Linked DNA regions of Pelodiscus sinensis. The main gene of each other region encodes a partner of the protein of the gene in region 3 in a complex. Links are inferred from orthologs where the notes say so. Each region holds a gene or a part of one and is shown on either strand. Other genes may lie near its edges.

Evidence for each region.
Region 1: CWC27 (region 3) and CRIPT share a complex: the UniProt entries of both Homo sapiens proteins name them as parts of the minor spliceosome. The link is inferred for Pelodiscus sinensis from reciprocal best matches to the Homo sapiens genes CWC27 and CRIPT.
Region 2: CWC27 (region 3) and GPKOW share a complex: the UniProt entries of both Homo sapiens proteins name them as parts of the minor spliceosome. The link is inferred for Pelodiscus sinensis from reciprocal best matches to the Homo sapiens genes CWC27 and GPKOW.
Region 4: CWC27 (region 3) and SNIP1 share a complex: the UniProt entries of both Homo sapiens proteins name them as parts of the minor spliceosome. The link is inferred for Pelodiscus sinensis from reciprocal best matches to the Homo sapiens genes CWC27 and SNIP1.

The regions. Positions count from the first base shown.
Region 1 is NC_134713.1:164,111,310-164,119,190, forward strand, and holds the start of CRIPT (cysteine-rich PDZ-binding protein), read right to left. Parts: upstream 3,008-7,881; 5' UTR 2,814-3,007; coding exon 2,798-2,813; intron 1,212-2,797; coding exon 1,146-1,211; intron 1-1,145. Other genes in the region: PIGF (GPI ethanolamine phosphate transferase, stabilizing subunit), read left to right, coding at 4,340-4,567. UniProt on the Homo sapiens protein: As a component of the minor spliceosome, involved in the splicing of U12-type introns in pre-mRNAs. Involved in the cytoskeletal anchoring of DLG4 in excitatory synapses.
Region 2 is NW_027465877.1:101,208-108,894, forward strand, and holds the start of GPKOW (G-patch domain and KOW motifs-containing protein), read left to right. Parts: upstream 1-4,680; 5' UTR 4,681-4,753; coding exon 4,754-4,899; intron 4,900-5,517; coding exon 5,518-5,666; intron 5,667-5,772; coding exon 5,773-5,912; intron 5,913-6,052; coding exon 6,053-6,159; intron 6,160-6,344; coding exon 6,345-6,537; intron 6,538-6,661; coding exon 6,662-6,794; intron 6,795-6,888; coding exon 6,889-7,021; intron 7,022-7,594; coding exon 7,595-7,687. Other genes in the region: membrane-associated guanylate kinase, WW and PDZ domain-containing protein 1-like, read right to left, coding at 1-449, 618-691, 1,024-1,088. UniProt on the Homo sapiens protein: RNA-binding protein involved in pre-mRNA splicing. As a component of the minor spliceosome, involved in the splicing of U12-type introns in pre-mRNAs.
Region 3 is NC_134716.1:91,048,092-91,055,646, forward strand, and holds the start of CWC27 (spliceosome-associated protein CWC27 homolog), read right to left. Parts: upstream 3,017-7,555; 5' UTR 2,877-3,016; coding exon 2,835-2,876; intron 1-2,834. Other genes in the region: uncharacterized protein LOC102460411, read left to right, coding at 3,268-3,280, 6,617-6,664. UniProt on the Homo sapiens protein: As part of the spliceosome, plays a role in pre-mRNA splicing. Probable inactive PPIase with no peptidyl-prolyl cis-trans isomerase activity. As a component of the minor spliceosome, involved in the splicing of U12-type introns in pre-mRNAs.
Region 4 is NC_134735.1:9,846,408-9,853,850, forward strand, and holds the start of SNIP1 (smad nuclear-interacting protein 1), read right to left. Parts: upstream 3,008-7,443; 5' UTR 2,891-3,007; coding exon 2,715-2,890; intron 2,108-2,714; coding exon 2,005-2,107; intron 1-2,004. Other genes in the region: DNALI1 (axonemal dynein light intermediate polypeptide 1), read left to right, coding at 3,460-3,540, 4,074-4,213, 5,266-5,435, 6,811-6,989, 7,385-7,443. UniProt on the Homo sapiens protein: Required for pre-mRNA splicing as component of the spliceosome. As a component of the minor spliceosome, involved in the splicing of U12-type introns in pre-mRNAs. Down-regulates NF-kappa-B signaling by competing with RELA for CREBBP/EP300 binding.

The DNA.
Region 1 (7,881 bases), on a different chromosome or scaffold from region 3:
GTTACTACCTCTGATACAGAGGCAGCAGCACAGGGTGGTAGATGAGAGATGGCACACATGGGGAGCCATCAGCCATCCCACATGTAACCACTGAAATTTTTAGGACTTTATGTGGTTACTAAGGGTGTGTCTAGACTACAGGGTTTTGTTGACAAAAGCGGACTTTTGTCAACAAAACTATACCTGCGTCTACACTGCCGCTGAGTTCTGTCGACATAATGTCGACAGAACTCACCAGTTTTGTCGACGGCTGTAAACCTCATTCTACGAGGAATAACGCCTTTTGTCGACAGAGTTCTGCATCTACACTGTCCTTTGCGTCTACACTGTCATGTTGACAAAGCGGCTTGCTTGTCAACAGAACTGGATGTAGTCTAGACGATCTTTGTCGACAGAAGCTTTGTCGACAGTATCTGTCGACAAAACTTCTGTCGACAAAAGTCTGTAGTCTAGATGTACCCTTAATTACACACATTTTAACATTCCTAACCAATACCGCATTGTTAACCTACTGTTTATCAGTTTGGTATTCCTAGTCCATTTAGCTGCTAAATATGTAGCAGTACAACAGAAAATAAAAAGTATCTAATATCTCAGAACGACCAAATAAAATAATGACCAGGATTATTAGCCTGATGGTGGGTGAAAATAAAATGTTGAGGATGAGTGGCCTAAAGCAAATGGGTGGAAAAATGAATATAGTGCACCCTGAATTTGGATAACAGGACCACCTAATCCACATTTCATTATTTCGTATTGTGATATAGTAGAAATACACACTGCTAGGGATGCGAAAGGTTAACCGGTGGGGGTTGGAGCAGCTCCCTGCCCACTGGGGGTAGGGGACTGCTCTGGCTGTGGTGACCTGCTTGTGGCAGAGGACTGAGGGAATGCCCCCACCCCCTTTAATCCATTAATTAGATACATGTAACATTTAATCAGTTAACCAATTAAATGGAATTTTACATCTCTACAAACTGCACTACAGAAGAGCAAAATAATTATAGTCCAATAGACTGAATTATCATAGGAAAGAATCTGAAGTGAAGGACAGAAATGGGGAAGCTGCTCATCTATTGGCATTGTTCTTTGCATAATAAAAGCTTAAAGTCTTCCTCAATTAAGTTAGTCTTTGAATGCAACACCTGTAGTATTTCTTGCTCCATCTTTCCATGTGTCAGGTGTAATCACAGTGCCAAGTTTCTTCTCACCTGTAACAGAACACACAGCAGGGGAAGAAAACTAGACTTAGTTTTCATTAAAGCCTCTAAGCAAATGGTTCTTATTAATACAAATGTTATTAAATATATATTTCTGGAATCAGTGCTTAGCAGCTCCACATGAGAAGCCAGGCTCTGCTTAGACCCTATAGATCCCCTGTGAAAGATGCTAGTTCATTGATAGAGGCAATGATACAGATGAGACAAGAGCAGGGGCAGCCAGGAAGCTGTGATGTGAATATTGACAGCTACCCCACACAAACCCAGGCAGTTTACCAATAGCTATGCCCATCTCAGTTATGACCGCCCAGCTGTGGGTGAGAGGGAGGAGAATGAGTGAGTGCACATGCACACACACGTGTGTGTGTGTGTGTGTGTGTAGATGAGACCCAGCCCGAACAGGGAGATACATCATGCCCCCATCCTGGCAGAGCTCCCTCTAAGCTAAACAGCTGCCTAAAAATCCTTTCACAAGGGTTCAGGGCTACTGTGCATGGAGTTGCCAGAGACTGGGGGAAGAGATGCAGGGGCAGCAGGCGGGAGCCTATACTTGATGGGAGCCAGCTTAAAAGCTGCCCTGTGTGTAACTGTGTAATTTTCAGCAGTTAGGCAGTTACACACACTTTAACATGCCTTCAGATCATCCCTGTGCAAAATGAATGTTATGTGCATCAATACGGAGGAGATGTGCTGCACATGAGCTCCATATTGGTGCACTCAGGAGAGATGTCAGACAGTGTTTAACTGACAAAAAGGCTAATGGCATATTAGGTTGCATTAAGAGGAACATTGCCAGCAGATCCAGAGATGTCATCATTCCCCTTTATTCGGCTTTGGTGAGGCTGCATCTGGAGTACTGTGTCCAGTTCTGGGCCCCCCCCCACTACAAAAAGGATGTGGATGCATTGGAGAGGGTCCAGTGGATGGCAACCAAAATGATTAGGGGGCTGGAGCATATGACTTATGAGGAGAGGCTGAGGGACTTGGGTCTGTTTAGTCTGCAGAAGCGAAGAGTGAGGGGGGATTTGATAGCAGCCTTCAACTTCCTAAAGGGAGGTTCCAAAGAAGATGGAGGGAGGCTGTTCTCAGTAGTGACAGATGGCAGAACAAGGGGCAATGGTCTCAAGTTGGGGTGGGAGAGGTCCAGGTTGGATATTAGGAAAAACTGTTTCACTAGGAGGGTGGTGAAGCACTGGAATGGGTTACCTAAGGAAGTAGTGGAGTCTCCATCCCTAGAGGTGTTTAAGTCTCGGCTTGACAGAGCCCTGGCCGGGTTGATTTAGTTGGGATTGATCCTGCCTAGAGCAAGGGCCGGACTTGACCTTCTGAGGTCTCTTCCAGCTCTATGGCTCTATGAATAATCATGGAACTTCAACCTCCCCCCTTGCGCAGATGGTAGGGGGCGGGGAAAGAGGATCCCCTGCCCCGCTGGGCACCCAGCTGCGGCGGGGGGAGGGGGGATGGTCTCGCGGCTCAGGCGGTGGGCGAGGACTCCAGGCACGCATCGGCTTGGCGGAGCCCAGGCGCGGGGCGCTGCCCGAAGTGGCGGGGAGGGACCGGCGCCCGCGAGGACTCACACTTCTCGCAGACCATGCTGAGCTGGAACCGCCGCCGGGCAGCCGCAGACCACCAACAGCTCGACAGACCAAAACAAACTGCCACTTCCGGACAGTCCCTTCCTCTTCCGGCCTCCGCGCTCGCCCGCCTCCCTATGGAGCCAACCTATGGGGCTGCTCAATGTACGTCCCCCGCAGCCTGACTGGTCGCCACCATCCGTCACTCTCATGCCTTGTGTCTTCTCCTTTGAGCAAGGCGCGCAGCGCCGCCTGCTACGCAGGGAGTTGAGCGCCGGGGCCCGAGAGCCGCGCGACCTCTGACCTCGTGTTCGGCGTAGTCCCGCCCACTGTCTGCTGACAGGGACTCGGGTAAGAGACAAACGGTCTGTGCTCTTCCTTCCCAGCAGGCTGCTGCCCGCCCCCCGCTGACTGTCTTCCTCCCCCCGCTTTCTGCTGCTCCCCCTCCCCTCCCGTGACGCGGCCCCACCTCGGGCTCCCCAGCATCCCATCCTGGGCAGCGCCCGCTGCCTTTCCTTGCTGTGGTGCGTTTTCCAGCCGAGCAGTCAAGCCTCTGCCCCTGCCAGTACTTGCTGGGCTTCTTCTCCTGTGGCATCGATGTCACAGGTCACAAGGGGGACGTGGGGCAGCATTCACCTCGCCACTCCCATCAGTGCCACTCTGGGTACCCAATGATCCTCCCAGCGAACCATTTGGTGATGCAGCCTGGTTCGGGCCATCGGAGGGTATGTCTACACTGCAGCGTTTTTCCAGAAAAAATGGCCATTTTTCTGGAAAAACAATACTTACGTCCACACTGCTTTTACTTTCTTTCGACAGAAAGCTGAAAGAACAGAGGGGCTTTTCTGACAGTGGTAAACCTCTTTCTATGAGGCAGAAGCTTTTTTCCAAAAAAGCTTTTCCAGAAAAATGCATGTGTAGACGTAGAAGAGGGAGTTCTTTTGAAAGAAAAGGCTTCCAGGAAATAACACAGGTGCCCTGGTGGCCACTCCGTCCATATTAATCACAACTTAAATGCAAGATAGCATCCAATTAATGTGGGTGCTATGTTTTGAAAAAGCACATTACTTTTTCATTGTGCTTTTGCTGTGTGGATGCACTCTTTCAAAATAAGCTTTTCCAGAAGATCTCTTCTGGAAAAACTTCCAAAAGAAGCTTGCAGTCTAGACATAGACTGAGGCATGTTGCACAAAGGTCAAACCTTTTTCCTCCTCTGCAAATTGCCTGATGGCACAAAGCCTGTGGTATAGGCTGTGTCTGCCTGAGAATGTAAACATCAGCAAAGCCAGTGAATCAGATGTTTTAGCAGAAAACATCACAATTCACTGCCAATCACAAAATGCAGTACAATATCTGAAAAAAAAAAAATTGGAATGAAACATCATGGTTGCTCCTAGGTTTTCTGTTTTAAAGTAGCACACAATTTATCTTTTTCAACGTTTTTTTTTTTTTTTTTAAGTTTACCCTCCCTCTTAAATTTTTCAGAAATTAACTACAGGAATGTCATTTGCTTTATTGTAGGTGCACTATTCAAGATAAAACACCATGAAAGATACAGAAATAAAGAGACTGCTGTTTGCCCACATCATTTGTGTATTTTCCATTATCTTAACAACTATTGTTCCACCTCTCTTTTTGGAGAACTTCTCAGTTTTGGGAACACACCTTATCTGGCTGTGCATCTGTTCTATATGTGTAACTACTGTAAATATAATATTGTATATAATACTTAAACCAAATCCGTCTTCTAAGAGAATTTCACTTGCTCACAAGGTAAGAATTTGTATAATTAACTTAATGCTAATAGCTTTGAGGAAGGGTTGACTATCTTTTTCCTGAAGAAGTCAACTAGGAAAGTAAAAGGACAAAGTACAGTCAAATGCATGGTTGTCAAATCTTCACCTTTGTAAATGAGTGGAGTAAGTGTGTATTACCTTTTGAAATGAGTTTTCCAGTATTTTTATCAGTGTTAAAACTTTCTTTTCCATTGAAGTTTTTCAGAGGGGAGCATTACTGGACCACATTCTTCTCCCAGAGCCAGGGAAAGGATCTAACAGTCCTGATGCTGCCAATTCCACTCCAACTGGTCTCTTTCTACCTTTGACATTTCCAGCAAACCCAGGAGTGCTGGTTGTATTATATCTTTAGTGTCTTTTCAAGAGCTGGTGGCTTATAGCCTAAAACCATCATCCTCCAATTCAGTGATGAGCAAACTATGCTAGTGAGCAGACAGTATGAGTGGCTCTCTTTCATTTACATGGGCTGCAAAATTGTCGTAATCAAGACTGTCATTCCTGGGATAGGGTAGCTTTGCTAGCTGTTCTTGTGTGCATAAAACTTTTGGGTTACGCTAATTGAACCATAGCAGTATTTTGGCTGTGGAGGGAGTGCATGATTCTCATAGTCAGTGTTGTGTTCAGTCAGCAGTCAGCGCACACATCATTTCACATACCCTTTGCTTTACTTCTCATTTAGTAATACCAATAGGAAAAGCTATGCAGATGGAAACCAGAGTGTGGCAACACTGCACCTGGGTAACAGTAAACAAAATGTCTTGTGGGTCACACATAGAACCTTAATGGATGTATGCAGGTCATGGGATGCCCACCATTACTCTGATAAGCTCCACGCTCGCAGAAATCAGTGAGACTCTGAATGCAGAAGTCTACGTGCACACATGTCACTGCAAGATCATGCCTAAGCCAGCATTATGTTCAAAAGTTTGGTCTCCTCTGCAGTTAACACATGTTAATACATAGAAGTAATTCAAGGAAAAACTGTAAACCCATGGAAATTTAAATGCAGGTAAAGCACAATAAAATTAATTGAGAAAGGTTAGTTAAGATTTTTTTGAACAACAAAGCCATCCCCCCATAGACACTTCAGTTTTATAGAAGACACTATAATATTACATTTTGCTGATGGAGTATTGGGAACATGAAACTCATAAAATGAATACTACCATAGGAGTTTAGACCAATACTCAGAGAGTTCAGAATGGGGAAACACAAAGGCAGGTTGTCACCAACTTTCTTCTGCACCTGATTTGCTGAGTTGAGGGGATAGACCACTATTACTAAGAACTAATGATCAAATAGCTTGACAAGCCAAATATATTGAGTAGTTTTTCACATATAGTGTGTGGTTTGACATTGATTTATTTGATAAGGGGGAAAAATAAAATCCCCTTTATAAAGTTTGTGACGTGGGGGAAAAAATACCTAAAAAAACTCAGATGATGCTTGAAACTTAACTAATGTTTGAAGTTTTCTTTGTGACTTGTTTTAGATAGAAACACTCAACTTTGGTTGGTGCTTCTTTAATTAAAACTGCTCATAAAATTTCTATAATACAAAAGAAAAACAGGTAACAATTGAGTACCATCTACATTTATAGAATATTGTGTATTTAAAAATGTATATAACAGGATTCTAGAAAGTTAGATACATGAGCAGCATTGTCATCTTGAAATCTAGTCAGTTTTAAAATGTAGTTGATGGAGTCAAATATAGCTTTATATACTATGATGTCCGAGTGCTAGTTTTTGTTGTATTACTATCACATTTCCCTGTTAAAAAATATTTTTAATTCCCCATTGTACTTTGTCAAATACATTCCAAAAAAAGCATTATGCAACATCAGGCATTTTCAAAGGTGAACAGGAACAAACTGAGGAACATTTTTCTCTTATCCTCAGTTAGAGGTATCATAGTTGTTACTTGTAATATTACCACAGTAAGTAAAACATATTTTCATACTGAAGTAGAATTTTATTTTTTAAATTGATATAGCTTTAAAATACTAAACACAGAAAAGCTTGCATAATAATCAGTTTCAACCATAGTCCAATGTAATAACTTCAGAAAAAGGCGAATGTAGTGCCCATCTTTTAAAAATGGAAGGAGGAGAATCTGGGGCTAGCCACAATTCAGTACCTGGAATAATCAGGGAGGAGATCCTCAAGGAATCCATTTTGAAGCACTTGGAACAGAGGAAAGTGACTAGGAACAATAAACATGGATTCAGCAAAGGCAAGTCATGCCTAGCTAAATTGATTGCTCTCTATGATGAGGTAACTGGCTCTGTGGATATGAGGAAGGTGGTAGACATGATAAACCTTGACTTTAGCAAAGCTTTTAATATGGTCTCCCACAGTATTTTTGCCAGCAAGTTAAAGATTTATGGATTGGATAAGTGTAAGGTGAATAGAAAGCCGGCTAGATCGTTGGACTCAATGTTTAGTGATCAACAGCTCAGTGGGCCGTTGGTATCAAGTGATGTGCTCCAAGGGTCAGTTCTGAGGCTGGCTTTGTTCAACATGTTCATTAATGACCTAGATTAGGGAATGGATTGCACCCTCAGCAAGTTCCCAGATGACACTAAGGCTATGTCTAGACTGCAAGCCTCTTTCGAAAGAGGCTCTTTCGAAAGATACTTTCGAAAGAGCCTCTTTCGAAAGAGAGCGTCTAGACTGCATGCGGAACTTTCGAAAAAGCAAGCCGCTTTTTCGAAAGAAAGCATCCAATGAGTCTGGATGCTCTCTTTCTAAAAAGCCTGTTTGCTTTCAAGAACGCCTTCTTTCGAAAGAGCACTTTCGAAAGAAGGCGTTCTTCCTCGTGGAATTAGGTTTACCACTGTCGAAAGAAAAGCCGCATTCTTTCAATTTAATTTCGAAAGAACGCGGCTGCAGTCTAGACGCAGGTGAAGTTTTTTCGAAAAAAGGCTACTTTTTTCGAAAAACCCCCTGAGTCTGGACACAGCCTAAGATAGGGGGTGAGGTAGATATGCTGGAGGGTAGGGATAAGGTCCAGCATGACTTAGACAAATTGGAGGATTGGGCCAAAAGAAGTCTGATGAGGTTCAACAAGGACAAGAGCAGAGTCCTGCACTTGGACAGAAGAATCCCAAGCACTGCTACAGGCTGGGCTTGGTTGGCTAAGCAGCAGTTTGGCAGAAAAAGACCTGGGGATTACAGTGGATGAGAAGTTGGATATAAGTCAACAGTGTGCCCTTGTAGCCAAGAAGGCTACTGGCACATTAGGTTCCATTAATAGGAGCATTTCCAGCAGAACTAGGGAAGTGATTAT
Region 2 (7,687 bases), on a different chromosome or scaffold from region 3:
CAGGATGACGTCCCCTGCCCGCGTGTGCTGCTGCAGGACGTTCTCCACTTCCCGGGGCCCGAGGCCCCTCACGTCGGCCCCATTCACCTTGGCCACGAGGTCGCCCTCCTCCAGCAGGGGGCAGCGCCCCCGGTCCCAGATCCTGGCCACCTGGGCCCCAGGCCCCCCCTCCTCGGGCGCCTCCACCGTGAACCAGGGCCCCGTGGCGCTGCGGGGCAGGGGCACTGGCGTCAGCCGGCCGGGCGGTGGGGCAGGGCGGGGCCTCTGCTCCGCCCGCTCCTCCTCCTCCCCTAGGCAGAGCTCTGCACAGCAGCGCACCCCCAGGCCCCGGGGGCGGCGGGCGAGGGGGGGGCTGGGCGAGGCAGGAAGCCGGCAGGAGCAGCGGCAGGGGGCGTCCCGGTGGGTGTAGTGCAGGATGCAGCTCCCGTCCACCACCACCACCACGTTCACTGCGGGGCACAGAGGGCAGAGTTAAGGGGGCCCCCCCAGTGCCCGGGGCAGGGGCGGCAGGGCCGAGCGTGGCGCCCCCAGCACCTCCCGGGCACCCAGGGCAGGTGGCAGAGCCCTCCGGTTGGCAGGGGGTGGGGAGGGGGGTGCCCCCAGTGCCCCCCGCTTACCTCCAGCCGCCGGTGCCACTGCTGCCGGGATCAGGGGTTCAGGGGCCCTGTGGGGGCTCTGGTGGGCACTGCAGCTGGGGGACGGAGAATAGGCGGGGTGCATATTTGGGGGGAGGTCCCTTTCTCGGGCAGCTTTCTCCCCCCTAGGATCCCCCATGTTCCCCCCTTCCCCTGGGATCTCTCCCCTATATCCCCCTCCCCCCTAGGCTCTCCTCCTAGGATACTTCCCCTCCCCCCCATAGTCTCCCCCTTTCCCCCAGAGCCCCCACCTCCTGGATCCCCCCAATTGCTCCCCGGTACCTCCCCAACCAAAGGCAGCCCCTTAGCCCCAGCTCATCCCTGAGCATCCCACCTCCTCAGCCCCCCAGAAGTGCCAGTCCCTCCAATCCAAGGGGGGGGGAGTCACCTGATGCCACAGGCTTCGCTTTGCTCCGCCCCCCAGTGCTGGAGTTGGGGCCCAGCCCCGCCCATGGTGCAGCCGGGGGCCTCGCCCCTGGGACCCCAAGTGGGGGGTTCTGCTTGCTGAGGAGTGGATCCCGAGACCCCTGAGTGCGGCCTGCCTCAGCCCTGTGAGGGGAGAGAACAGGAGAGTTCAAACCTCCCCCGATGCAGCCATGTCTGGGGTGGGGCAGGAAGGTAACAGCCACATGGAACCGGCCTGCAGCATGGCACTGCCCAGCGCCCTGCCCGGCCCTGCTCTGCCCCCCAAGCATGGGACCCCAGTGCCCAGGCCTGACTGCCCACCAAAGCCCCCTGCCCGGCCCCTCCGCCCCACGTGCGCCTCTTCTCTCCTGCCTGCCTAGAGTCACGAGGGTGGCGGAGAGGCACTTGGGGCCCGGAGGGCGGCCGTGCCCCACAACACCGGCCTGGGGGGAATCACTCCTCCCTCTGCCCGGGCTCCCACCCCCTCTCTTGGATCAGCCCAGCTGTGGGCCCGAGGGCTGGCTCCCTTGGCTCCAGAACTCGCTGGGCTCTAGAAGGGATCTCGCCCGCCCACCCACTCTGGAACCTACAGGAGAGCTCGCTCCGGGGGCGCAGGCAGTGACTGAGATCTGGCGCTGCCCAGGTCTCTCTAGAACCCCTTGGGGAGCCAGGGCTGGTCTCCATCGCGCTGGGGGTCTAGGACATGGCTCTGGGCCCCAGCGCCCCTGGTGACTGGCCATCCTCCCCACACTGGCCCCGGGAGCGCTGGATGAACTCCATCAGCCAACTGGGGGGCTGATTAGGAGGCTCGGCTGTGATGGACCCGGGGCAGGGGGCAGGTTCTGCGAAAGCAGGAAGTGGGGGTAGCCCCCTTGCCCGAGGGGAGGGAGAAGGAGCCTGGCAGGAACGGGTCCGGGGAGGGAGCAGTAAGGTGGGGAGATGTGGGGGACAGACCCACCGTGGCAGGGGGTACTGCTATGGGCAGGGCAACAGGCAGAAGAGAGGCTGACAGATGCACAAACTCCCCCGCCGCAGAAGGGGAACCCCTGGGGCAACCAGGCGGGGGGCCAACTGAGTCATGAAGGGACGGCTGCAGCTTCTGGAGCGAGAGGAAGGGCCAGGGGCCAGGAAAACGGTCTCAGAGGGAATCTGGAAGGAACTCTATTGTTCAAGAACCCAGGTGGGATCCAGAAAAACCTCTGCTGCTCTAGAACCCACCAGGGATCTCAGCAAATTCCTTTGATCTAGGCCCCACTGGAGACCTGGGATGCTCTCGGCCATTCTAGAGCCCATGGAGGGTTTGGAAAGGCCTCTGCCACTCAAGAACCTGCAAGGGGGGGGGCTCTAGAAAAGCCATTGGTATTCCAGAAGCCACTAGGGATCTGGGAAAAGCCCTGTTCTAGGAGCCGCTGGGTATCTAGAAAAGCCTCCCTCCCTCAAGAACCCAACGGGCACCTGGGTGATCTAGAACCCATTGTGCTGGGGGGTAATCTAGAAATGTCACCGCCTTGGACTCTTCCAGGTAGGGGTGGGGTGATGTGGGGGGGGTGCCTCCCAGGCTCTGCGAGGCCGGTGACGTTACCCAGTTGCTGCTGGGGGGAGGAGGGGAACTGGGGTGCACCTGCCCTCTGTTTCTAGTCCGCAAGCAACATGGCATATTTTGAGGAACACGTGAGGCCGGGAAAAGGTCGGTTCCCCCCCTCTCCCATGGGTGTGTGGCGAGCAGGCCAGCAAAAGGGGCCGGGAGGGAGAGGACCGTGGCCGTCATCGCTTGGCTCCATTGCCGCGTGCCTCAGTTTCCCTCTGGGCTTCACCCGGGGAAGAGGTGTCCGTCCGCTCCCCGGCCGCCGCAGGAGGCATGGGGTAGGGGTGTCATCTCACTGCCTGGATGGGGGAAGGGAGAACCAGGTTTGTTGGACCCAAAGCGACCGAGGGGCCGAGCAAGATGAGAGCCTCCCCCTCCCCCCCGCAACCATCCGCCCTCCCCCCGCCCCCCGCAGGAAAGCCTGGCTGGCACAGCTGGGAAATGGGGCTTTTGGGGGACTCTGGCACCCAGGGAATGGTGAGATCGGGAGGGGCCAGGCCCGGCCCGCCCTGTGCCTGTGTCGCTCCTCAAGGTCACATGAGCGGGGAGGGGGAGTAGCTGGTGGGGGGAGGGGGCTTTACTTCCCACACGCCAGAGCCCTCCCAGGAGGAGCTGAACGTGCCGCTGCCCCTTCCAGCCTGTCCCAAGGCCACCCCCAGAGCTGTCGGGTTCCTCCCCCAGCCCCTTGTCCATCACAAAATCAACCTCTAGGCTCCCCACCCGCCCCTCGCCAGCGCTGATCTCCCCTCCTAGGCCCTCAGGACGCCCCCCCTCCCCACGCCATCCCCCGGCTCCGGCAGCCAGCACAATCCAATTAACAGCTGATCCCGCCCCGTCTCTGCTGGCTGGGGGGGGCTCCCTTACCTTGGGGTGGCCCCGGCATCTAGCGCTGCTCCGGCCCCCCCCTTCCGTAGTGGTACCCGATGCTGCTGGGGTTAGCAACGGGGATCTCCAAGGCAACGGGATTGATGCCCCGGTAACCCTCCACCTCCTCCTCCTTCGCTAGACTCTGGGGGAGGGGGAGAAGGGGAAGATGGACAGACGAGCCAGCCAATCGGAGACCACAGTGGCTAATCTCCCCCTGGGATATGGAACACGGGGCCTGACCCCTCCAGGGGGTGCCGGTTCCAATCCAGCCCCGGGGCGGCTAGTAATGAATAAGCAGAGTCATTTCTCGATACAGCCTTCGTTAAGGAGAGTGCATGGGCATGGGGGAGGCGTTCATTCGCCAGCCCCTAAAGCGAGGCCTGGTAGAAACCCGGCTCTTCCCCAGGCCACACAAGGTACAGGGCTAAGGAGCAGGGTGGGCTGGGAACCAGGACTCCTGGGTTCTCTCCCTAGCTCGGGGGAGGGGGTTAGAGGCCTTAACCAAAGCACATCTGTTCAGCATCAAGCTTGAAAGTCACTGGAGCTGGCATGGGGTCACAGGGTGCCAGGAGTCACTAATCTCCCACCCCCAAGAGGAGGGGGCTGATTCAGGACCCCCCCAAATATCAACAGGAGACCGGCCAGACGGGGTCAGAGCAAAGGTCCCTCCAGCCCAGTGTCCTGTCGGCCGACAGCGGCCAGCGCCAGGGGCCCCAGAGGGAGGGCTCACAACTGGGAACCGTCCCGTGATCCCTCCCCTGCAGCCCCTGTTCCCAGCCTTGGAGAAACAGGCCAGGGGCACCCTCCCGCCCGGCCTGGCCTGCAGCCATCCATGGACCCACCCTGCCCGGATGTCTCCAGCTCTTTGTGACCCCTCCTGCGGCAGGGAGTTCCCCAGGTTGGCTGTGCGCTGCGTTTAGAGATGCTCGCTGCACGGAGCGACCCCCCCCGTCCGAACGTCACGGCAGCTGCTGGGCCTGGGGGGCTGCTCCCCTGCGGCAGCAACCAGACGATTTGGGGGTTTTAAGGACGCAGAAAATTCCCCGGTGGGGGGATCTCGGGGTGGGGGCAGAGGGTGGGGGAGGGGAGTGGGGGGGGCAGCCCCGCCCCGCACTACATCCCCCATGATGCTACGCGTGGGGGCGGGTCTATAACCCCCATGAGGCCCGGCGGGCCAGCTTGGAACTACAGCTCCCGCGAGGCCTTGCGCGCGGCGGTGACTACAACTCCCGTGAAGCCTTGCGCGGCGCGCGGCGGCAAGATGGCGTCGGACGGCGGCCCCCCGGCCCCGCGGCCGGTCTCGTTCGGATTCACGCGCACGGTCGCGCGCAGGCGGCTCGCGGGGGAGGGCGGGGCCGACCCGGAGCCCGATTTCATCAGCGCCGTGGAGGGGAGCGAGCTGCGCAGGTGAGAGCAGTGCGCATGCGCGGGAGTCAGCGCCCCCCGGGGGGGCGGGGCTGCTCGGCCTGCGCACGTGAGCAAGATCGACCAGGTGCCTGGGGGAGGGGCCATGTGGGCTGGAGAGGGCGTGTCTGGGGGAGGGACTATAGGGCTGGAGGGGGCGTGTCCGGGGGAGGGACTATAGGGCTGGAGGGGGCGTGTCCGGGGGAGGGACTATAGGGCTGGAGGGGGCGTGTCCGGGGGAGGGGCTATATGGGCTGGAGGGGGCGTGTCCGGGGGAGGGGCTACATGGGTTGGAGGGGGCGTGTCCGGGGAGGGGCTATATGGGCTGGAGGGGGCGTGTCCGGGGGAGGGGCTACATGGGTTGGAGGGGGCGTGTCCGGGGAGGGGCTATATGGGCTGGAGGGGGCGTGTCCTGGGGAGGGGCCATGGGTGATTGGTGTGAGGCAGGGTCTGTATCCAGTGGGTGAGAAGGAAGAGGCTCAGGGTAGTGGGTGGGGCCTCTGTGGGGCAGGCCCTTGGGATGGGGCAGTGGGCGGAGCCAGGGTAGCGGAGGGGGGGGGAATGGGAGTGGTGCACTCTGGGTATCCCACGGCAACGGGATGGTTTCTCTCTGGCTCTCAGCCTCCGGCCAGTCCCGCCCTCCAAGCCGCTCGTCATCCCCCTGATCCAGCGCAACCAATGGAAGAAGCCGGCGACGCCCCCCGTGGGGGCCCCAGACCCGCCGGCCGATGATGGGGTGGAGTCCCAGGCCGTGAGGGAGCTGATCGAGGGTGAGCGAGGCAGGGACCCCAGGAGTCCCCCCCCCGCACACACTAGTTCCCGCCCCCTGAGCGGGGACCCCGGCGTCCGGCTCCTGACGGTGCCTGTGCTTTGCAGAGAGCCGGCAGTCCCAGGAGCGGTGGGAGAGTGGCTCCAAGGCCGACCCCAAGCTGGCCATCCCCCTGCTCATGCAGAACCGCGTCCCCGAGGGGTACGAGGATGGGGACCGGGTGGACGTGAGCCTGCGGCCGGAATCGGTAAGAGCCCTCCGACGAGCCCACGGCTTCCCCTGGAGCCCCAGCGCCAGCCCCCTCTTGCGGCTCCGAGCTACGTGTCCCAATGCCTGTGGCGGGTGGTTCCGCAGGTTAACGACTCTCCTGCCCTTCTTGCCCTGCAGTCGACGGAGGCGGATTATGAGGTGGTGCCGGTGGAGGCCTATGGCGTTGCCATGCTGCGGGGCATGGGCTGGAAAGCGGGCGAGGGCATCGGACGCACCTTCAAGCAGTGAGTGACCTGGGGGGCAGAGGGATGGGGGGCGGGGCAGGGAGATTTTGGAAAGGCTGTGGACCAGGTTACTGTAGGGGCTGGTAGGTTGGAGGAGGGTGATGGGGGAAGGAGTCCTAGCTCAGCAGCTGGGGGGGTGATATGCTTTCAGAGGCGGGTCCCCAAATAACCCTTCCCCCCTTTAGGGACGTGAAGCCGCTGGAGTGCCAGCTGCGCCCCAAGGGGCTGGGGCTGGGAGCTGACCGCTCGGCCATCCAGGACCTGCAGCCGGCTGGCCGCCCTCAGCCCCCCAAGCCGGGCGAGGAGGAGCCGCTGGGGCTGGTGGCAGGGGGCGCTGTGCTGATCATGGCTGGGCCCCACAGAGACCTCTATGGGAAGGTGAGTGCCCCCCCATTCCTTGGCCCCCGAGCCAGCCTGTCCCTGCCCTGGGGCCGGGTGGGAGCCGATGCCCCCTGGAAGCAGAAGGCTCACCCCTCGTTCTCTTTTCTCTCCCTGTCCCCAGATCGAGGGCGTAGACCCCGATAACGCCCGGGTGATGGTGAAACTGGCCATCGGGGATAAAACGGTCACCATCAGTCAGCACGTCCTGCGGCCCGTGACCCAGAAGGAGTACGAGAAGCTAGCCAAGGATCTGAGTGAGTCACATGACTGCTCCCAGCCACACCCCCCCCGCCGCCCGCCTCCCCCGTCCCCTCCTCACTCCCCTTTTCTCTCCAATCCCCTTCACAGGCCGCTTAAGCCAAGCCCAGAAGGAAAAAGAGGAAAAGCAGAGAAATGAGCCTACTGAGGCTCTGGCCACCACGGTCCCCCAGGACACAGGGGAAAAGAAGGACAGAAAACGGAAACAGGCAGCCTCGGAGAGGTAGAGACCTGGGACGGTGGGGAACAGCCACGGATAATGCTGCCTGGGCACGGCTTGCTTGGTGCCGAGATGCAGCCACCTCTGGGGCAGGGCAGGTGGGGAACAGCCACATAGAACACTGCCTGGGCACGGCTTGCTTGGTGCCGAGATGCAGCCGCCTCTGGGGCAGGGCAGGTGGGGAACAGCCACATAGAACACTGCCTGGGCACGGCTTGCTTGGTGCCGAGATGCAGCCGCCTCTGGGGCAGGGCAGGTGGGGAACAGCCACGTAGAACACTGCCTGGGCACGGCTTGCTTGGTGCCGAGATGCAGCCGCCTCTGGGGCAGGGCAGGTGGGGAACAGCCACATGGAATGCGGCCACCTCTGAGGTGGGTGCTGTCTCACGGCCCAGAGGAGGATTCCCCAAGCTGGCGTGTGGCCCGGACACCCTGGTGCCAGTGCAACTCAAGTGCCTTTGATGAAACACTGTGCCCCTTCGCCAAGCACGGTGCCCCCAGCCCCCCCCCCCCCCCCCCGCTTCTCGCAGCACGGTGCCCCCCCCAGCACTGCTCCTGACTGCCTGTTCTCCTCAGCGCCCCCCAGGCTGGGAAGCAGAGCAAAGGCAGCAGCTTATCGTCCTCCCGCACCCCCCACTGGCTGCGGCGAGACCTGCGGGTTCGCTTCGT
Region 3 (7,555 bases):
ATACCAAGGAAGTGGCCAGCAGGGCTGAGGCTCTGACATTTTGCCTGCCACCAGAAAAGGTAAGCAAGGCCCTCCTGCCAGGGAGACAGCCCCTGCCACCCTCACTCCCTCACCACAGATGCGGTAAGGGGGAGAGAAAGAGAGACCCTGCTGCACCCCCTGCTTCAGGAGGGATCAGGGGAAAGGGAGATAGCCCCCCAAATCCCGGGAAGGGCCAGGAGGGGAAGAAGAGAGCCCCCTGCCCTGGGTGGAACCAGGACGGGAGAGAGAGAGTCCCCCCATGACCTGGGCAGGGTCATAGGGGAAGAAAAGAGCCCCTGCCATCCCAGAAGGATCTAGGGGGAGGAAGACACCCTCCACTCCTGGCTGGGCCAGGAGGGAAGGAGCGAGCCCCTGCTTGCCCTGGGGACAAGCCAGCAGAGGGAGTTTGTAGTACCCGGTGCCCTGGGCTATCCACGAGGAGAAACCAGCAGCCACTCTGTCCTGAGCCCCCCTGTCCTGAGCCTGCCTCATCCACCCAATGCTCACTCTCACACACTCCCATGCCTCCAGCCTCATGCCCTGAGCTCCCCACATCCCCAAGGCCCTACCCTGACTCCTGGACCCCCACACTCCATGAGCCCTCTGCAATGAAGCACCTGGGCAATGCCAGATAAGTCTTCTAGTAGTAAAGAAAACAAAAAGCCTCCTCAATTCCTTCTTACCATCAGTGAGAGATGAAACTCCCCTATTCTCTTGTTTGCAAGTGAAGCAGCCTATTTACTCTTTCGTAGTCCTTTACAGTTGTTAACGTCAGTGAGTTAATAGTAGTTACAGTCCTTAGTTGTTTAGAGAGATTAAAATTCAGTTGAGAGATCTTCTCCTTCCCATGTACCTTTGGCACCAGGGCATGCCAAGGTCTCCAGGCTTCAAAGCCTCTGGATCCTGTGGTAAGTATATGCTCAGAAGCAACCCCCACACTTCATATATGAAGTGTTTAGGGCAGTGGTCACCAACCAGTAGATTGTATTATTTGTCGAGCCCTGGACATAAGCATCATGCATTCCCCTTGACCCACCCCACACTGATGTCAGTAAAGTTCCCCTAGTGATCTGCTTGCATAATCACAAAAAAGTAGTCCTTTCTGTTGCTGTACTCTATAGCAAGGTAAGCTGGTATCAAAATGGGGATTTGTCTAATGTATATCACAGCCTTGGAATCCCATTGCTACAAATCCATGTACTATGTCTTCCATATTACCAAGAGTTCCAAATTATTCTAAATTGCATACTGGGAACTTTACTCTTATCTCCCATAAATCACGGTGTGCATCATTTCTATCCCACCATAGGAGAAAACTTCCCTAAAGGTATTGTGCTAGACCAGGGTGGGCAATGAGTGGCTCACAGGCCAGACGCTGTTCACCACGGCAGGCCACTGATGCTTTATTTACCTGTGCAGCTGCAGGTACAGATGTTTGCAGCACTCATTGGCCACAAATTGCTGATCCTGGCCAACAGGAGCTGCAGGAAGTAGCGTGGACTGCGACACCACTTCTCGCAGCACCCATTGGTCAGGAACACTGATCGGGGGCCAATGGGAGCTGCAAATGGCCGTACCTGTGGACATGCAGGTAAATAAAGGGCTGGCGGCTTGCCCTGGGCTAACTGTGGTGAATTGCCACTGTCTTATTGCTCACCCTTTCACTATTCAGCGCTGGTTTGCAGGCTGGAATACCTACATGCAAGTCACCACACTTTGCATTGACCCAACTACTCTGCATGCATATGTTCAGTGCCAAGGCAAGCAATCAAGAATGCAAGCACAGGACTATATGCTCACACAGGCAATACGCTAAGCTAACTTGCACCTGCCAACAACTGTAACATAGTTGTAGGAGTGCTGGAACTACGGATGTGAATGGTTAACAGAGCAGCGTGCTGTGGGCAAGGGCGCTCCAGTCCAGCTGGAGCAACCTACACCCGCAGCCAGCCCAGCCTAACTGCTCCAATGTGTCCATGGTGAATGGGGCAGGAGGTGGCTCCAATACATCTGGTCTGGAGCTGCTCCCCCCACACCCGCCCCCATTTATGCGGTTGACTGGTTAAACATAATATTTATCTAGCTAGCTGACTGAATGGTATTTTACATTCCTAGATGGAACCACTTTATAGTGTGGGTGGCGATGATGGAAACCATGTACTTGTTGGTTATGGCTGCTTCAAGCCAGGAGGTGCAGCAGCTCTAGGGATGCAATAGTGTAGCCAATTAACCAATTAACTGGTAAGTAAAAGCTTACTGGTTAATGCTATATATTACACGCATTTCCCTCCTCCCCTGCCAGTAAATTTTTTAGCAGGCTGGCCAGAATCCTAGCTCACACCAAGTCCATGACCTACCCCCGCTGCAGCTCTGCATTTAAAGTGTATTAAGAGCTAGGCAGGCAGGCAAGCAAGCAGCCAAGCTCAGTTCTGCTTTGCACCAGGTCTGGGAACTCTGACCCCACCTAGACCAGAGGCAGCAGCCCAGGGCAGGCAGCTGGTCTCCGAGGGCAGCTGGTTTTTAACCCGGATTCCCTCATGGACCAGCTCCCACCTGGCACCCTGTGCTGCGGCCGCCTCTGTAGCCGAGGTAACGGCTCCTTGGGAGCGGGGCTGGAGTGCGCTGGCTGCCGGCCCCACCCCGGGGGACTATCAAATAGCCAGTAACAATAGGAATTGATGCGGTTTCTTGACTATTCAATTAACTGATACTGAACAGTCCCGCGGGCCCTTCTCGGCGCTGCCCGTCGGGCTCCCGCTCCCTTCGCCTTCCCCAGGGGCCTGGCGGCGGCTTCTGCTCCCCCCCCCCCGCACCTTGCCGTTGGTCGGAGGCTCCTGGATGTAGATGTTGCTCATGCTGGTGGCGGGGCGGGCACGGACCCGGCGACTCCGATTTCGCTCCTGGTCTGGCGCTGCTGAAACCCCGACTAGCTCTGCGAACCTCCCGCCATCTTGGACCCCGGGATTTGGCGCCGCGGCGCGGGGGGAGGCAGCAGGAGCGAGAGGCCAAACGCGGAGCCGCAGCACCCGCTCTGGGAAACGCCTCCGTCGTGCGCCCTAGGCCTGAGTTCCCCCAGCGACCCGCCTCCTCCATCCCCCGCACTGACACCGTGGTGTGATCCCGCCTCCCCTCCCCGCCTAATGGTACGGCCCGGTGTGCGCTGCCCAAAGCCCTCCGGCCGGGACGCTCGGGTGTCGGGCCTGCGTCCGGCTCTGCCCGGGGAGAGCGTGCGGGGCTCGTGGCTTCATGGCGCTGCCAGGTGAGGGCTCTGGCCCGGCGTGGGGGCAGCGGGCGGCCGAGGAGACCCTTGAGACGCTGGCGCGGGAGGCCGGGACGGGAGCCTGGGTGGTGAGGGCGTCCCATCGTCTCCGCTCGCCGAAACCTCCGGTGGCTCTTGGGGGGCCGGACCCGTCCTGGGAGGGTGCCCGTAGGTGAGACGAGCTCGGGGCAAAGGTCCAGGGGGAGACAACGCAGTGAAGCTTTGAAAAGAGCCGGGCAGCAAGTGGGGGCCGGTATCAGCCTAGAAAGGAAGTGGCCACGAGCCGAGTGAAGGAAGAAACCCAGGTTTCGCGGAGGGTCGGGTGGGGGGGGGGGGATAGTTATATACTGATAGCTAAGGCCAGAAGGGTTCATCATGATCAAGTCCTCTGGCATGACCTTTGCAGGCTACAGAATCCACCCACGCCTGTACGTTATTGAAGTCCTTGAATCATAATGTAAAGATGTCACATAACACTTGATTAGCCTCATTTACCCAAGTATCCTCTTTCTTAAGTTGTCCTTGGCTGTGTCTACACTGGGCCACTTATTCCGGAAAATCAGCTGCTTTTCTGGAATAAGCTGCGAGCTGTCTACACTGGCCCTTGAATTTCCGGAAAAGCAACGATGCTCTACTGTACAAAATCAGCCGCTATTCCGGAAAAACTATTCTGCTCCCGCTCGGGCATAAGTCCTTATTCTGGAACACTGTTCCGGAAAAGGGCCAGTGTAGACAGCCCAGTAGTCTTTTCCGGAAAAAAGCCCGGATTGCAAAAATGGCGATCGGAGCTCTTTTCCGGAAAAGCGCGTCTACATTGGCCACAGACGCTTTTCCGGAAAAAGGGCTTTTCCGGAAAAGCAGCCTGCCAATGTAGATGCTCCTTTTCCGGAAAAACTGAAAACGGAATAGTATTCCGTTTTAAGCATTTCTGGAAATTCATGCCAGTGTAGACACAGCCCTTGTGTATATCCCCCTGCCTTGGTAAATACCACTCCAATTTATTTGATGATGAGGATTTTACCTGTGGACGCTTATGTCCTAATAAATCTGTTAGGCTATTTCTACACTGCAGACTTCTTGTGTAAGAACTATTTTGTGCAAGAGTTCTTGCACGAGAGTGCGCCCACACTGCCTTGTGCTTTTGCACAAGAGCATCCATGGCAGTGTGGATGCTCTTTTGCACGAGAAAGCTCTGATGGCCATTTTAGCCATAGGGGTTTATTGTGCAAGAAACCCCTGTTGCCTGACCACACTGCCTTCTTGTACAAGAGCTCTTGCGTAATAGGGATTATTCCTTGTAGGGAGAGGAATAACTCTTGCACAAGAAGTTCTCTTTTCTGATGTTTTACTGTAAATTTACTTGTGCAAGAACACACGTGCAGTGTAGACATTTCACAAGTTTTTGTGCAAGAACAGCTGTTCTTGTGCAAAGAGTCTGCAGGGTAGATGTAGCCCCCATCTCTAAGGTGCCATAGGACTCATTGTTTTTGCAAACACAGACTAACATGGCTGCCCTTCTGAAAGAATTCATCAGTACATTAATATAACTCAACAAGTGATCTCTGTCCCATGCTGTCTGGTATGGAGGAGAGCTGCTTTCTGACCACAAATGCAGCAATCAGACCACTGAAACTTTTCTGCAGTTACAGAGTTACCCAATTACCTGCTTTTTAATATTCCTACTTGCTACTAGCAATTGTAAATGGGTCATACCCAATCTCTGCAGGGGGTGGATGGACAACAACAGAGCAGGGCAGTTTCCCCTGCTTTAAAAAGACAAAGTAAAGCTTCTCTCAGGAACTTACTCAGCAGCAGCCAACACACACACTCTGTCACTGTCACACACTCTCAGTCTGTGTCACAGTCTCTCTTTCTCTAGCCACGAACCCTTCCACCTGAAGCCCTGCCCCTTTTGGGATGCCTGAAACCAACCTGTGGCCAAGTACAAAAAGTACTTGGCACTAATTGTTTTAACATAGAATATCAGGATTATGGTGATAGGATACATGGTAGAAAAGTGACTTTAGGGATGTTGTAACACAGTTGTATTCTGTTTCCCTTTGCATTATGGCTCAATGCTTTTTCTTACCAAAATAAGTTAAAAAGTGAGAGAGGGACATGTTTTGGGCAGTGTTCCCTCTAAGCTGTGCAGGCAGCACAGTTTCACAGGTGATTAATCAGCCCCACCGAGCCAGGCTCAGGGCTCTGTGCATGGAGCTGACTGATTAATCATCACCTGTGAAGTTGTGCTGCCTGTGCATCTTAGAGGGAACACTGGTTGTGGGAACAGGTGATGCTCCTGATAGTAAGATGGCCTGTGAACAAGCACTAGATATGATTGTTATTCACCTTGGGGGAAATGATTTGGGGAACCTGTAAAGGGGTAGGCTCATTGTTCAGATCTAAGAGGGACTTGGGGCAGATCCTAGAACTTTCCCAGGAGTAAAAATTAATTGGTTGGACATGTTGTGACACAGGGTTTGGCAGGAAGCTGTGAAGCCTCCATGGGTTGACAAGAGTAGGAAGTATGAGAACAGAGAGGGGGCCAAAATCATAGATGGCATAAGGGAGTTGATGATTTCTCATCCTGCCATACTATATTGGACAATATAGGGTTCACCTGCAGATTTAGAAGTTGATATGTTTTTGGCTGATATTGAAGGCATCAATAGATTTCTGGGAACTGGGCTAGGTGTGAGGGAAGACAGTCAAGCTAATTGCTGGAGCCTCTGTCACAGATGTTCAGTACAGGTACTCCAATAGGGAATTGATAAAGTGATCCAATAAAATAAATTTAAACACAATTTAAAGAAGGTATTTAAAGGAATGGAGATGGGTGGTTAGAGACTGGTATGACTGGGAGTTAGCCCCCTCTTTTTGGAAGAGGATGAGATGTCCCAGCAGTGGGATTGCTAAGAACCAGAATGAGGAAGGGGCAGCGCTGTCCCCACATATATGCAAATGATTAGAGAATTATATGCACCATAAACTTTAATTTGCTGGGTACTCCGAGACATTTAAATCACATCCATTGTATCTTATCCTTCTGGCCTAGCCAGACAATAGACTAGCTAGTTACAGATTTTTTTAATAGACTGAAGGAGTGGGCTGTGCCCACGAAAGCTCATACCATCTACATGTTTTGTTTGTCTATAAAGTGCTAGCAGACCATTTGCTTGCTGGTTTTTTCTGTAACAGACTAACTCAGCTACCACCTGAAGCCACTGCAATATGCATATGCACTTTGACACCATGTTAAATCAAATATAAAGGATAAAAAGAAACAATTTTGTGTGTTACTAATTAGAACATAAACAGAAGTTTGTTTGTTTTCAGGTGGAAATAAGGATAACATAAGGGCAGGATGCAAGAAGTGTGGCTATCGTAAGTATGAAGGCAGTATAAAGATGTCCACCATTTTGCAGGGAGGCAGGGGAAGCCCCATGCAGCCACCTGCTACGGGCCAGCTGGGGCTGCAAGCAGTGACGGAGGAGAGGGGCTAGATGAGGGGCGGCACTGCGGGACCAACCCGGCAGCACCCCAGCTGCTCTGCCCCGCTGCTTCCGCCTCTTGCAAGCAGGTGGCAAACAGCGGTGGCAGACTTGGGGAAGCGGCGGAGCAGAGCAGCTGGGGTTCTGCCGGGTTGGTCCCGCAACGCCGCCAACCTGGCAGCACCCCAGTTGCTCTGCTCCGCCGCTTCCCCAAGTCTGCTGCTGCCACCGCTTGCAACCTCAGCTGGCCTGTCACCGGCGGCTGCGTGGGGCTTCCTCCGCCTCCTTGCAAAACGGCGGAGGGTTTGCCCCTCGTCGTGCCGTTCCCAGCTGAGCCCCCCCCCCCCCTCGCCTCTCCTGCTGGTCACAGTGCGGGTCCCAGCAGACCCGTCACAGCCCCCTGCTGGAGTACCTCCTGATACCCTGGCATATCCGATAATCCTGCACCTCCTGGGTCCCAAAGGTGCCGGATTATTGGAAGTCTACTGTAATAGACTATAAATAAAAAACAATCTTCAAAAAAAATTAAATACTTTTATTACATATGATATAATTTTAAATAATTATTCCCTTAATTATTTATGATCATTTTGTTGACATACCTTCCAAACCATTTTTCATTGATTTAGAAAAAGGTTACATGGTAAGAGAGGTTGTACGCTTTCTTCCAGCAGGTTCTGACACTGTTGGTTTACTTGCCAATGCCACTGAAGGCAATTATGTGTTGGTATAGGATTCATTTTTTGATATTCAGTGTTGTAAACTTTCTGGATACGAAAGAAAT
Region 4 (7,443 bases), on a different chromosome or scaffold from region 3:
TTTCAGTTACTTTCTTTTAAAAAGCAAAGGTTCTTGGCTTACATATAATTTACTAGTGCTTGGCTTATTTTAAATTATATATTACCACTGATATTAGGGTAGAACCCTGAACTCCCCACTGAGGATTATGCTGGGTTCTGTACAGGCAGCAAAAATAACTGTTGGCCAGGAAAGTTTAAAATCTAAAAATTAAATTAAAATATTTGCTATGCTCTTAACAATTTGGTCATTTCCTTACATGGAAAAATACCATCTTAAACCAAGTTTCTAAACTACTGCTGATATTACAGACCAATGTTTAGAACAAATTTTCCTAATACAGGTTTGACCTCCTTGGTCCACACCCTCAGGCATCTGAGTGGTCCTGAACCAGAGAGTTTGCCAGACCAGGGGAGATCAAGGCTCCCCTCCCCACTGTCAGCTCCACTTCGGCCCTTCTACTGGGTGTCAGCCCTGGCTGTTAGGCTGTTTCCCACCATGCTGGCCCCAGTGCTGTCAGTCCCAGCTAGAGTTGCATTCCCAGCCACATTGGCCCTACTGCGGCTGGCCCTGGCCAGAACTGAGCTCCTGACCCTGGCTGGCCTCTTGCTTCCAGCCGCTGGGACTCTTTGGTCCAGCAATATCTGTGGTCTGGTCGAACCAAGATTGTTGATGAGGATTTTAGAGGTTCAATCTACACTCAAACCACTTTAATATGGCAACCCTAGGAAACAGGTTTTGCTGGATTAAAGATTTTGTCAGCTCAAGGAAAGAATGCGGAAGATGGGAGCAGGGTTGTTACCTGGCACTCCCATGGGAGCAACAGGAAAAAGCCTCCAGCAGAATGCATCCCTGTACTGCTGTTTCCCCTAGCTGGGAAGGAGGGGGTACAACAGAGCTATTTCTGCCTCCACCTGCCAGGGTCCATATCATATTATGGGTGTTGCTGAATTAGAAACACCCCGAGCACAGAAATTATAGTGTATTTTGGTTATTCAGTCTTCTGCATGTTTCAACACATGCATAAAATCTTACTATGTAGCTGAACTCAATAGCCACTGTTTTCTAGACATTCCATTATGGAACCCACTTTGTAAAAGGTTACTCTCACGGTTTCATCTCACTTCCCAACATCTTTGTTTGCACAATTTCACCAAGAAAGGTATCACGGCCTACATGCATGAGCAGGTCTCGACAAATCATGTAATCTACTCACCCCCAGTGAGTAGATTACAAGCTGGCACAGCCAGCACCATGAGATCTGCGCATCCGCAGCTCGCAGAACCTCGCGGCTGGCGAGCAGGGCTCACCGCCGCTTGGCGAGCCCTGTGCATGAGTAACACTGTTGTATAGTGTTCTTCAACACTCAAGTTGGGAAAATAATCCCCAACAATCACTCAATTTTATGATTTAGGACATGTCTACACTAGGGATGTTAACTAATGTTTATTTGTGTAAATGTGTAACCACTAGATTTCTTAGTGGTTACATGTTTACACACCTGTCTCTCTCTCTGCCTGCATACCAGCCGCTGTGGGAAGCAGCAGGGGTGAGGAGGGCAGGTGGATCCCCAGGCACCAGCTCCCACCTTCCCCCCTCTCTGCCTCTGATACAGAGGCAGAAAAGGGGTGTGTGCACAAGTGTAGTTGTCAGGATTAACTTGGTTATTTGTGGAAATGGCTACATACTAACATCCATAGTCTACAGTATAACTGGTGTGGAAAAAAATGCCATCCCCTTGAGTGACAGAACTTTTTCTGGCCTTAGTAGTGTGCACAGCACTCCGTTGGTGGAAGTTCCTAAATGTCCAAATTATAATAAACGATAAAAATAATCAAATAATAAAAAAATAGGGTAATCAAGTGATAAATTAGTCATACCATCCTATTTAGATCGCGTTCCCACGTTAATCTAAGCAGACAGACAACTGGTTTCAACAGATGCCCACTGATTTCAAGTCATGCCTCAGTCATATAGCATAATTTTCAGTGCTAGGACATTAGTGCTTAATATCCAGCAAATTACCTGTTTTACTTTGACTACAATATGATGAGGGCTTTTACTTCTTTTACTTCTTGGAGACTTGCCTCTTTTAGCAGATGACTTGTTCTTTCTTTTTGCTGGTGACCTTTAAATATTCAAAAAAAAAAATCATGTTTTGGGTCCACAACCCACTCTTGCCCCAAGGAAAAAAGGAAAGGAAAAGGCTTGTGCAAAACACACCTGACAATTTAACCTTAATCTGTAACTACTACTGTCCTGTATTGTATCATAGAAGGATGAGGTGGTGGGGAAGGGTCTCCCAGTTGCAGTGTTCCCTTTAAGCTGTGAGCTTGGGCTGCAGCACAGAGGATTCAAATACCACCCAGCTGATTGGCAGAGGGCCCACAGCTACCCACAATGTAGCAGTGCACATCTGCACACGCTCCGATGCACACAAAATGTTGTTCTACACACGGAAGGAAAAACAATTGGGCCATTGCCCCGCTCTATGTATCTGGGGGCGGTGGACACCAACCGGTCTGAAGGGAAGAAGTGGGGGAGGAGGAGGAAACGCTGGGAGAAACCTTTGAGCGGGAGTGGGGAATCTCCGAGGGGGGCCGGGGAAGGGGGGGCTCTCCCCCGCGCGCCCTGAGTCTCCCACACAGCGTCCAGCGGAGCCGCAAGGACCGCACGAGACAGCGAGCGAGGCTCTCCACTCCCGCCATAGCGGGTTGAGCGCAGGCGGCTGATACCTGCTGCGGCCTTGGGCTGCTTGATGCGGCCGGGCCGGGCCCTGCTTCCGCTCGGCAGGCGGGGACTGGCTACCCCGGGCGGAGCGGGAGCGCCGGGGGCTCCGCTTCTCCCCCCCGTCTTCCTGCTCCTGTCGCCGCCGCTTCCGCCGCCGTCGCTCGGGCTCGGCCTCCTCCATGGCTACCGCCGGGACCCCACGAGCCGGGCTGCGGCCGCACGTCCCCGGCAAGCGGAAAAGCGGCGGCTGCGCAAGGCCCTTCCGCTCACAAAGAGTAAGCGAGAAGCCTAGTACTTCCGCTTCCGGGGCATCTGTGCCCGGCGCCCCGGAAGCACTCGTGCCAGGCAGGCCTGAGGGGTGTGCGCGCGGGGGGGGGGGAAGCAGGTGACGTGGGAGGCCTCGCGTGAATAACCCGGGCGTTGTGGAAACCAACGCGCTGTGTGAGGTGGCCTTGGGCGCGCGGCGCCTTCCTCAGCCGATCTGGCTGCTCTCAGCCTTGGCTGGGCTGAGGGAGTGGCCCGGCCTCGCCAGCCCTGAGTTCGCTTTTTACACTCTACGCATGCGCAGCTGGACCCGTTTTCCTCGCCACAGCCGGCACGGCGCGTGCGCGGTCCACTTTTCTCGCAGCCTGGGTCGAGCGCTGGCGGGCGGGGGCGCCTCGTGACGACGTGACACGGCGGAACGCGGCCCCGTTGTTGCCATGGTGACGGTACACGGCTTGCGGGGAGAGAGCGAGCCACGGAGCCGCCATGATCCCCCCGGCGGACTCGCTGCTCCGCTACGAGACCCCGGTGCTGGTGAGCCGCAACCCGGAGAAGCGCTCCCCGAAGGTAAAGGGGCTGCCGGGGGGCGAGCGAGCTGGGAGGGCATCGGGCGGCTGGTTGATGGGGGTGCGTGGGGAGGGGGTGGGGTGCGGGGGGAGGGGGGAGGGGGTGGGGGGGTGCATGGGGAGGGGGGAGGGGGGGGGGTGCATGGGGAGGGGGTGGGGGGGTGCATGGGGAGGGGGGAGGGGTTGGGGTGCATAGGGAGGGGGTGGGGGTGCATGGGGAAGCGGTACACGGGGACAGGATTGAGCTGGTGTTATGTGGAGGGCGGAGAAGGATGAGCGGGGGGGGCAGGGGGGGCTGGAGGTGGGGGGCGGGTTGAACTGGGGGCTCATGGGGAAAGAGGGATTATGGGGGGGGCCGGGAGAAATTTAAGTGATGGAGCATGTGAGAGACCTAAACTGGGAAATCTAGGGGTTATTCTGTTGGAGAGGGAATTGCATGAGATGAGGGCATGGGGAGCCTGTGTGGTTTCCCCACGCACCCTGGCTGAAACATGTGCCGTGCCTTTATAGCCCTGGTATGTTTCTTGTTTGCAGGCGCGTCCTTTGAAAGTGAGTCCTCAGCAGCCAGTGTCAACTGGACCTGTGCCGCCTCCTCCAAAACCCAAGACTACTCCTACAGCTGTAGATCCAACAAAACAGGCAGAAGAAATCTTAAATGCAATCCTGCCACCAAGGCAAGAAACTGCTCTTGCACCCTTTCACCATGGTCCCAGGAGAAGTCATCAGTGTGAAATTTTAAGGTTGGGGGCAGGCAGTGAGGGGCTCTGAATGTTAGGAGTCAGGGCATGTCACTATAAGGTGGAGCCACACGGTAGTCATCGATCCATCACTAGTAAAGATTCACTATATTGACTGTTGATCACTCTCCTGTTGACTCCGGTACTCTAGCAGAACAAGATGAATAAGGGGAGTCAATGGGAGACTTTTGAGTTGACTCCCCACACTGTGGACCCTATGGTAAGTAGATCTAAACGTCAATTTGAGCTATGCTGCTAATGTAACTCAAATTGAGTAGTTTAGATTGACCTGTCCCTTGTAGTGTAGACCTGCCCTCAGTGACTGTCACAAAATAGCGTTGGGGAGAGATTGGGAGATGGATTTCTAGCTAAATAAAATATTTGTTCCCGTCAGTGCATGTGGCTCATCTAATAGTTGGTGCTGACTGATTAGTGGTAGTTACATAATATGTTTTCTAATTTCCTCAATACCTATGAGGTAGTGAGTGGCCTTGATTAATTATACATCCGTTTCAAAAGTAATATAATCTAGAAATGTTTTCTGCTGTTTCAGATTACTACATGCAGTATCAGCCACAAAACAGCAGTCCCTAAGCCTTTTTAAGTCTTGTGTCTTGCCTGATGCCCATGTAGCATGCCTGGATATCTGAACACTGCCATTCTGAACAGTTAGCTATGTTTACTGTTATCTAAGTATCCTGTAGTTAAAAGTTCTTTACTTGCTATGTAAAATGCTATCAAATTCCTCTGTTGTTGAAATACCAGTTCAGTAGGGGTAATGAAGGATGTAAAGTTAGCATTTGTTTAGGGATCAGGACATTCAACAGAATCTGTGCTGACTTGATCTCTCGATTCTACTGACAATGGAAGCAGGAGAACATGCTTGCATTGCATGCTTTTGTGTACAAAATATGGGATTCCTTCAGTTTGTGGTGGAAATGAGAGCTCAAGCATATGCTGATTTAGTCTGTGCTGCTTTTGTGATGCAGAGAATGGGTGGAAGACAACCAGTTATGGATTCAGCAGGTGTCCACCACTCCCAGTACCCGAATGGATGTAGTTCATCTGCAGGAAGAGCTGGATCTCAAATTACAGCAAAGGCAGGCTCGAGAAACTGGGATTTGTCCTGTCCGCAGGGAACTCTACTCACAATGCTTTGGTCAGTGAATACATCTAGGTCCAAGATACTATAGCAAAAGGCTTGTTTGAAGGATACTATAATACTAGAAGTTTCTGAATAGCTCAGGACATGGGGAATGGGAAGTGGAGACTTCTATCTAACGTGTATGGATTCTTGTCCACCTTGGTCAGGAAGGAATAAGAGTCGTTACTAGTGTTCTCACTAAGATTTTCCAACCATGAGCAGAGTGAATTTTGGCTTGTGCACCAATACTGAGGTCATGTGCGCTGGTTTGGATGTGTGCCACTATGGCACCCAAGTTATTAACACACATGTTCCCAGCCTTCAGAGCAGAAACCCGCCCCTCCCCCCGCCATGTAGCATATCGTATTCCCAGTTGCTGGCGCAGACAGCCCTCTCCCCATGCGGCAGGTCCTGTTCCTGGCCCCAGCTGCCAGGTCCCAGCCCTCTGCCCCAGTGGCTCCCTCACCATGTCATCTCAGCCGGCCCCACCCACAGGAGCAGCCACCTGCTGCGTGAGTGCTGCTGTGAAGCTCTCCAGAGGAGGGGGATGAGGGAAGAATTTTGTGTGCATGGCCACACAGGCGCACACCTTAGCAGGAACTATGGTCATTACCATCCCATGTCTGTCTGTCTGACCTATTGATTTCAGTTCATTTCTTGGTGCAGAGATCCACATCAGAATTAACATAAGAAGGCTACTTTATGAAGTCTCAGTAAAGAACCCTCAGTCAGAATGGACACACATTTTCCTCTTTTGGTTTTAATGAGTCCCCTACAGTGCAGGGCTGAGACAGACTGGCAGAAGGAAGTGCATGTGGGAAAGCTTTCATTGTTACTAAAAATATTGTATTAGCCCTCTTGCATCTCTCACCACCATATATAGATGAAGCATGGTTGCCACATGCGTATTTCCTCTTAATTTTAGCTTGTCTACAGAACAGTATATTTTTAAAAATGTCTATATACAAGCTGATGCCGAGAAGGTGTCACTGTGGCAACAGGGCATTGAATAGTAAGCTGGGGTTGCATATTTGCATGGGAGGGAAAAATTCATTCAACCACACTTAGTTCATGCTCTAATAATTAGATTGTCATGTTAAATAAATTAAATATCTTGGTTACACCTTGTTACTCTTCTTGCTGTCACAGACCAACCATGGAGACTGGAGGAAGAAACCAGCCACTGGGTCAGAGAGATATATTAATATAATTAATTTTTTATTCATTAGCCATAGGAAACTTCAGGTCTACACTACCTTGTCTTGAACACCACAAATGTCATGGCCATAATTACGTTGCCAAGCACACTGACCCATGTCAAAATGTTTGTCTTGAAACCCGTGTAAACGTTCTCTCTCTCTGTTTACTGTTACACTTTTTTTATTTAAAGATGAACTCATCCGTGAGGTTACAATTAACTGTGCAGAGCGGGGACTATTGCTGCTTCGAGTCAGAGATGAAATCCGAATGACCATCGCTGCTTATCAGACACTGTATGAAAGTAGTGTTGCCTTTGGTATGAGGAAGGCATTACAGGCTGAACAGGGCAAATCTGACATGGAAAAGAGAGTAAGTGAGGCTGTAAACTCATAGTGTACCTATGATCTGGCTCAAAAATGTGCTTCTCATCTTCCTCATCCTGGCTCATTGGGATTTTCTCACATTTATTAGAGCACTCTGACAATTTCTTTTGCAAACAAAATCAACAAACAAAACCTTCACTATTTTCTGATTTGATCAATAAACTGCTTCAAAATATTGTTTACCTTTTTAAAAAAGTTTTCTAGTTCCACTGGGTGGCAGTAAAGATCAAAACACATCTTGCTGATTTCCTGAGGCTGCTTTAATGGACAAATTGTCGATTATCATTTTTTTCTTCAAAGATAGTAAAATTTATATCTTATATTTTAATTGTATTTAAAAACATAACAATGACTACCAGGCATACCTATGTTCTTTATAAGATTCTAGAATTAGAAGATGAAAAGCGAGAGTTGGAAAGACAAGTCAATGAGCAGAAAGC